2 linked regions of the Lepisosteus oculatus genome follow. The protein of the gene in region 2 purifies or fractionates together with the protein of the main gene of each other region. This does not show direct contact. Links are inferred from orthologs where the notes say so. Each region holds a gene or a part of one and is shown on either strand. Other genes may lie near its edges.

The links. Proteins that work in one complex are often made in the same cells at the same time.
Region 1: the proteins of rapgef2b (region 2) and magi1b purify together in Homo sapiens (co-immunoprecipitation; 3 studies listed by BioGRID and IntAct, with this or other methods). This does not show direct contact. The link is inferred for Lepisosteus oculatus from reciprocal best matches to the Homo sapiens genes RAPGEF2 and MAGI1.

What each region holds. Positions count from the first base shown.
Region 1 is NC_090699.1:49,447,877-49,451,631, forward strand, and holds the start of magi1b (membrane-associated guanylate kinase, WW and PDZ domain-containing protein 1b), read right to left. Parts: upstream 2,779-3,755; 5' UTR 2,235-2,778; coding exon 1,937-2,234; intron 1-1,936. UniProt on the Homo sapiens protein: Plays a role in coupling actin fibers to cell junctions in endothelial cells, via its interaction with AMOTL2 and CDH5. May regulate acid-induced ASIC3 currents by modulating its expression at the cell surface.
Region 2 is NC_090696.1:23,459,666-23,463,420, forward strand, and holds the start of rapgef2b (rap guanine nucleotide exchange factor 2), read right to left. Parts: upstream 2,342-3,755; 5' UTR 1,760-2,341; coding exon 1,691-1,759; intron 1-1,690. UniProt on the Homo sapiens protein: Functions as a guanine nucleotide exchange factor (GEF), which activates Rap and Ras family of small GTPases by exchanging bound GDP for free GTP in a cAMP-dependent manner.

The DNA of each region.
Region 1 (3,755 bases), on a different chromosome or scaffold from region 2:
GCCTTGGGAAATGCGATGAATTAGCTGCAACAGCACTTCATATTGGACACTCAGGTCTGGGTTACCTTGAGTTGTTGAGTTCCTAGTTTTTGAAATTTCTGATAATTAAAGATTGCCAAATGATAAGCTCAGTCTATCTTCATCCAAACTCAGATGTATTAATAAGTAAAGTTAAGAACAATATTAAAGGTTTTGAGTGAATGGTTATTTCTCAAAACATCCACAAATTGTAACTGCATTTTTACACCATATAAAGTATATAAATATTACAGCATAATCTGTATTGGCACATAAATCATCGTAGCCAAAAGGAAAGCATTCTATTATACTTGCTTTACAAAAACAGTTATTTCTGTTACTTCATAGCTTAAAGCAAGATGTTTTTTTTTTATTTATTGAATGCTGATTTCTATGGGATAAAAAACCATACCATACCATATGTCAGACTGACGTCTATCTTTTTTGTTTTGAAATGCTTAGCCCTTGAATGTAACAAACTTCTCTCACATATTATCTCAGTGTACTCCACTTTGAATTAGAACTACATCATGACTTCCCTAAATTATTCATCTGTAATGAAATATCCCCATGTTCCTTCTTAGCATTAATGAAAACACAGAACAACTTAAATGAAAAATATGTCCCAATGAAGCTGATCAGTCCGTTGCATGAAATTGTTTCAAGTGACTCATGTATCTGAACAAAACCACCACAATTTTATGCCTGGAAGGAAATAAACTAGAAACATGTGATGGAAGCTATAAATAAAGATGCATTACAATCAATGTTCCTCTGTGCATGTACTGTATGCACCCAACACACTGTGTATCACTGGTACACACAGAAGGAGGAGCAATGCTGGTAGAACTGGTAAGGGTTACTTCAGTCTCTGTGTGCCAGCTATTACAGGTCGGATAAATGGAAAATCTGTCACACTGATCCTGATGACTCTCATCAAAGCACTGTGTTGTTATCTGCAAGCGTCCAAAACAGACATTAGAAATTCTAAAAAAGAAGTTACACCTGATGTAAACCAGACAAAAGCTGAATGGCTTCTACACTCTAAGACACCATCCTGACATGAAGCCATTGCTACAACTTGAAGTAAGTAAGGTTGTAAGTGACCCAACAAAGGCAAGAGGAACCCTGTCAATTTAAATGTTCTTAAATGGACTGGAAGTTGCATTTTAGGATCCAGACAGTTAATGTTTTCTAGCAATAATGTGTTGTTATACATCAAAAGAAGACAATTTGTTGAACTTCCTATTTCACTATGTTCATTAAAAAGCTTTTCATAGGTTCAGAGCAACAGAGCATTGGTGTAAAAGAAATATACTGTATTACAGACCCTGTTCTCCACAGTCAAGCCTATTGCTCTTTCCAAACAGGTTAGAAAATGATGTGTTATAGCCCATATGTGTCTGTGCAGGGCTAATCAGCCATATTAAGGTGTCCACAACCCCAGGACAAAATATGTGACAAACACTTCAGAGCAACTGGCCATCTACAGTTACCCCTGTTCCTGTACTGTAAGCCTCACTTTCAAGGAAACAAAGCACCTGGTGTTTTGTCGTTAGGTACAGCATTTTTTTACAATTTCACAGCATTGTTATTAAGATCGTTGTTTTCATTGTAGTAAAAACAAATAAGTTAACACTAATGGGATGGGGATAATTTTGTACTTTTGTTATACTGTATACTGTGTAACAGAAATATGGAAGTCTAAACCATAAGACAGGTCATCTATCGTGCCAGCACTGGTATCTAAAATAAAACAAAGTTAAATATTGTAGCAATTTGTTTACAAACCCTCACTCACTGGGTAAACTACTTATCTTTGTCCTTCCCTACCAAAACAGGAAAAAATGCTACTGGATGAGCGCAGAGGGATTTAGGGACATCATCATGTCGGATGTCGGCTGCTTGCATCACCTACCTTGTTTTACAGTTCTCAACCTGACGGGACCCTTGCAGTTCTTTATCACTGTCTGTACATCGTAGAGGGGCAATCCAGACACTGCGAGCCCCTCTACTTCCAGGATCAATTCCCCCTCGGTTAATTTTCCTTCTCTGAAAACCGCGACATCTTCCTTAACTTCCCCGATGTACGGAAACTCTCCATTCTCTGCTCCCCCGAGCAACTCCACATTCAGTTCTCCGTGAGCGTCTTTGATAATCGCGCACTCATTAACTTTTGCTGTCCAATGGTTTTTCTTTTGTAGCACTTTGGACATGGTGAATACAAACCAACAGAAAACAGGTGGCCCCACCAACAGAAACAGGGACAGCCAAAATCAGCTGTTTCATAGAATTCAATATCCCAAGGACAAGCTGCAAACTTTTCTTTTTGTTTTGTTTTAGCAAGCAGGAATCATAATTAAAGCTCTTAATGTTTAGAAAAAAAATCAAGCCATTGCGATACAAAAGTCCACTTTAGTGGAGCTTCAGTTCTTTCTTCTCTCCTGGTTTGTTTCTCATGTTTTCTCATTTTCTATGGTAACATCTTTACTGCTTGATCCTCCACAAGTCGATCTTTATCCGTCTCTGACTTGCTTTAGTTTCACGACCGTCCAGAGTCCACGCTTGTTTTATCTCCAGTTTTTCTCTTTTTTAATTTTTGCATTAACTTTTCGTCTTTTCTTATCAAAAGCCCCAAAAGAAAGTGTTGATTTTACTCACTGGTGGAGTTGAAAGAGAGGTTTCGGTACGATTGCGGCTCCTTTAAGCAGGTACAATGTTGTTGCCTGTTTTGTTACATTTTATCCAGCTATCTGGAGCTTGCCATAGTAAAGTAGGCGCATGCGTCACATAACCCTCCCGGAGCCCTAAAGGGAAATCCTGGTCACACCTATCACAGGGTCCTAATGCCGAACAATGCCGAGTTCACATTACTCGCAATGTAATTACTGATTTCAATTTCTATTTTTCATCACTGAACTTCCTAAAGACTTACAACAATCATTACATATATACAATTGAATTAGTATATATATTTTTTTACTTTCTAAGACATGGTACAAACATCGTGAGGAACTACAAAAAAATGAATCCTTTTCGTAATCTACAAAGCCTCGGTGACCATATACTGTAGGTAACATACAATGAAAAACGAAAATGCGGTCAGTCTCCAATGTGCTTTGGATTGTTAACAGATATGCTTACAGTCTTTTTATATATCTTGTTTGTTACTAATAGTATTAATCCATAGATCTAATTGTAAAGTAACTGAAGAACTTTGACATTAACTAAAAAGCTTTCAATAATGCACAAAGGAATATACCCTCACTGGACAAAATATTAGAACCCTCATGCTATCATTGGGTGCCAAGGTCTGATTGGCCTGAAAAGGATGAGAGGAGCTCTCCCCATTCCCTCCACACCTCCTAAATCCTACCAAGGAAAACCCAAGGAAACACTCGAGCGATACCACCTCCATCACAGTCTTGTGAATAGGATTTGACCAGAAGAATGGAATAAGACTGGGTAGAAAATGTTGAATATGTGCTAAGGTCTTTTCCTAGATGGTTTTTGGGGGGTATCCTGATATTTATACCAAGGGGTATAGCACAGTTTAAAATAAGTAAATAGAAACAAGAAATTGGGTAATTTCCTCTGTCTCTGGAGCAGGCCCCATCTCTAGAAGCAGCTGGACTGTGGCTTTCATGTCAATGGTTGATTCCTCTAGTAAATTATTAGACAGTACCAGTTAGAGCATTCTTTGTTTTTTTAATTAATGTAAATTTAACTTTCAAAGG
Region 2 (3,755 bases):
AAGTGGCAATTAAAAAGGAAGTTTCCAAGATGTTATCATGACATTACCCTAATTTTTATTATCAGACTTCGTGTAAAGGATTCCAGACCACCTGAACTGCAGAAAACAGAGACCAGTGAAAACAATACAGAATCCTAAATCAGAAAACAAACATTAACACCACTATCGCTGTGTTGCATTAATGTTGTGCTGTATCTTTTCCAGCAGCCTGAATATCAAACACCTTAAATAATGGTACCAGGAACTACTTTAACAACTTACATTAGAATGAAAATTACACTACATGAAAGCCGTAGATACAAAATATCTTAATAGATTTAGCTGTGCATTTAACTACATTTCAACACTACATTCAAGATTAATTTTATTCAAAAGTGGTCTCTTACAGCTGTCTATCTTTCAAGACCAGTTTAAAGTTTAAGGTAAGTAATCTCACCAGACACTGCAATTGCCCCTAACCACAGTTAATAGGCTTACTTTGCATCAGGAGAAAGAGGATTTTCAAGAGGTTCCCAGAGGTACCACTGAGACTACTTCACACACATTGTGTGCTTTATGATGAGAAATAAATGTCAAAAACTGAGATGAGCTTGTTTATTTTGCATTAATATACATTCCTATTGTAAGAAAGGACCCCCAACTGTTTTCTTATTTCTAAGCAATATAAACTATTCGAAATATGGCCTATTTATCAGGTGGTACCTTTGATCTCAGTGAGAGGTTAGCACTGTTCGTTGTTCGTCAACACTTTCATAATACTATTGCAAGTTTTCCTTTATACAACATGGTATTTGATCCAACAAGAAATGAAGTAGGAGAACATCACGGAACCTATGAAACCCCCTGAACTATGCACACCATATTTTAAGAATTCTGGTCTCACGTGTGGAAATTCTTTGAAACACTACATGACTGGGACTTTGATTGATCGCTCTCGATGAACGATAGAACAGCTGCACACATTACCACAACTTCACTTACACTGTTTCTAAATGCACGGTCTTCATATAACGAGTGCCCACCGATTCACCGATGAATTACTGTAGCTACCATTTTTTGCAAAGGAGCCAGGCTTAGTAGGCGTTTTACAAGGGCCAAGAAAGACTATGCAGCGCCTCTCCTTGAGAAAGGCGCAGCTGACCAGGAAATCAGGACCACTACATGATTCACTTAAAAATACACCTAAACTTGATGATACGGCGATATTTTCATTTCACAATCGCAAACGTTACGTTTAAAATAATTAACTCTTAAATAATCAGTCTGCCGCAAAATGTTTGTGATCGATTCATATTGTGAAGCTACAGTATTTAACCCTTGTTTCTTACACAAACATAAACATCCTTTTTTTAAAAAAAAAAAGAGGGGACATTCTGTAAATACAGTGAAGAAAAAACATTCATGGGAAGGTTATGGATAATTTAGACTGCGAAGTTCAAACATAAGAAGCATCAGTTTTCCCCATGTTTCATCAAAGGATAATCTGAAATCCCAGTTTGATTTTGTATAGCCAAAACTGCGAAACGACAATCACACAAACGCTACTACTATGGAGCATATTTACATACGAAAATCGGATGCAAAACTTTAATTTAAGCAACCTTATCACCGCTAGAAATTCTGAAAGACTCATCCCGTGCAACCTGGTGTAAACACGACGGTTTTAATTAAAAAGCTCATGTTTTCTGACCTGTTGCGTCCGCTCGGCCGGGTTTTTCATCACCGCCTGTCGGAAACTGTTATCCACGTAGGACGCCATTCCTGCTGTAAAAAATACGAAAGTGCACGGCACAAATGCGTGTCTTCTTTTTAAAAAATCAAATAGTGAATCTCTTGTCCACTTTGTTCAAGTTTGTTTTTAAAGACTTTGAAAATGTGACAGCTGAAGCTCGATCCCCAGGCCACAGTCAGAGCCACGGGGTTTATTTCGTATTCAGTCCCTGATCCCGGAGGACTGGCTTGGGATCAGGCTAAGAATAGTACTCCCTTCTTCTGATCTGCCGCCGGAACAAATCCTTCTTGTGGATTACAATATTTCTCTAAGTTTTTCTGTGACCAGTTAAATTAAGGTGAATTCAGAAAATATAACAGTGAAACAGACGTTCCTTTATCCAGACGCCGGGAAAGGTTAGTCTCTTATCTTCTGCATTCTGATTTTGAAACAATTCCAGGTTTCCTTTTAAAAGAATGAATAAAATTTTACCACTTTACAGTTACCCATTTAGGCCATCTGTAAAGTAATAGTAAAAACTAGTATCCTTTGTTCATTACATTTGAGGAGAAGACCGCCACGGCTTGCTGCTTTGTGCCACCATGGTGACTGACGGAGGAAAGCTTATGGGCGAGTCCATTGACAACAATATCATTCATGGAAGAATTTACAAATTTAAAAAGCTCTTTGTCGCCACCTATTAAAAGAAACCGGAATGGCAGAAATGATACTGGGATAATTCAGAAAGCTTCACTGCCACCTCGTAACCAAATTAGAGTAACAAAGAAAATAATCAAAGAAGATTTCATCTGAGAGTTAGACAATGAAACCGTGATCCGATTAAACAATTATTGTTTGCCCATTACAGATTGCTGCCTTGTTAAATTATAAGCAGAGGATCAGCATTGTAAACACCAAGTGATATTAAGGCAGAACTGTTTTCGCAGTGATAATATTCTTAGTTGTAAATGCTTTACAGAAACCCATATCACTGTACAATGGCGCAATACCCAATAAGGTAAAATGGGGGTAATTACTGAGTACCTCACAATAAAAGTTCAGTGACATACTGAATAACAACTGTCCACAGGTACAGCTTTCGGTATTATTCATAACTGTAGGACCACATAAAATCTTACTTTTTTAATACACCCTTTGAGTTATAATTTATATTTATATGTTATAATATTACAAAATCAAACACATCAAAGTCTAGGTATGATTTTTGTTTCTGAAACATACAGATGAATTCACATGCCATTTACTGTATTTATTAATTATAATTTATATGTTCTTGAACTCTATTTTTGTTAATAGATACAATTTATCCCGAAGATTAAAGATAAGTACTAAACAAATACAGTTATGTACACATTATTCTCTGGAGTCGCTATTATATTAATGCTTATCTTGCTGTTTAAACCGCTCTGTTAGAAAATTAACTGGATTGTCGTATGATTGGTTTCAGTGTAGCTGCTGTATTTGACTCTGTCGAGTCAGCTAATACGCAATCATGTTAGTTTTAAAATTACTTTAGTTGCTGTACAAGACACACAAAAGCCCTTCGTTTGACCTCCTAAAAGGACGTTCAGGCATTACTTGTCGTTTAAAAATCCTGCTGCAGTAGTGTCTGCCACACAAAACAGATATTGTAGCAACCGAGGCCATAGCAACGCTCCACTCACCTCCCCGGAGTACCTGTAAACTTGGCTTCCTGTCCTTAGAGGGAAGTTGTTGGTTTAAAGCGTCCTTAAATTAAAAAAAAAGTAAGGAGACGAAGGACAGAAGTAAAATATGACCAGCAATAAATACTCAGGTGCTCAGAGGGGACATCCGGTATATAGTCAAAGAATGCTTTTTACAGGTATTTATTTTGCTGTTGTTCTTATCATTTACCAATAGAATACTGGTGGTACTATATACATAATAAGTCATATTGATCATTTTAAAGTTTTACATATCATTCATCAAACTATAATTCACGTGTGTATACATTGATTCAACGGGATGCGGTTCCATCACTGTGGTACGTGTGCTTATTTTT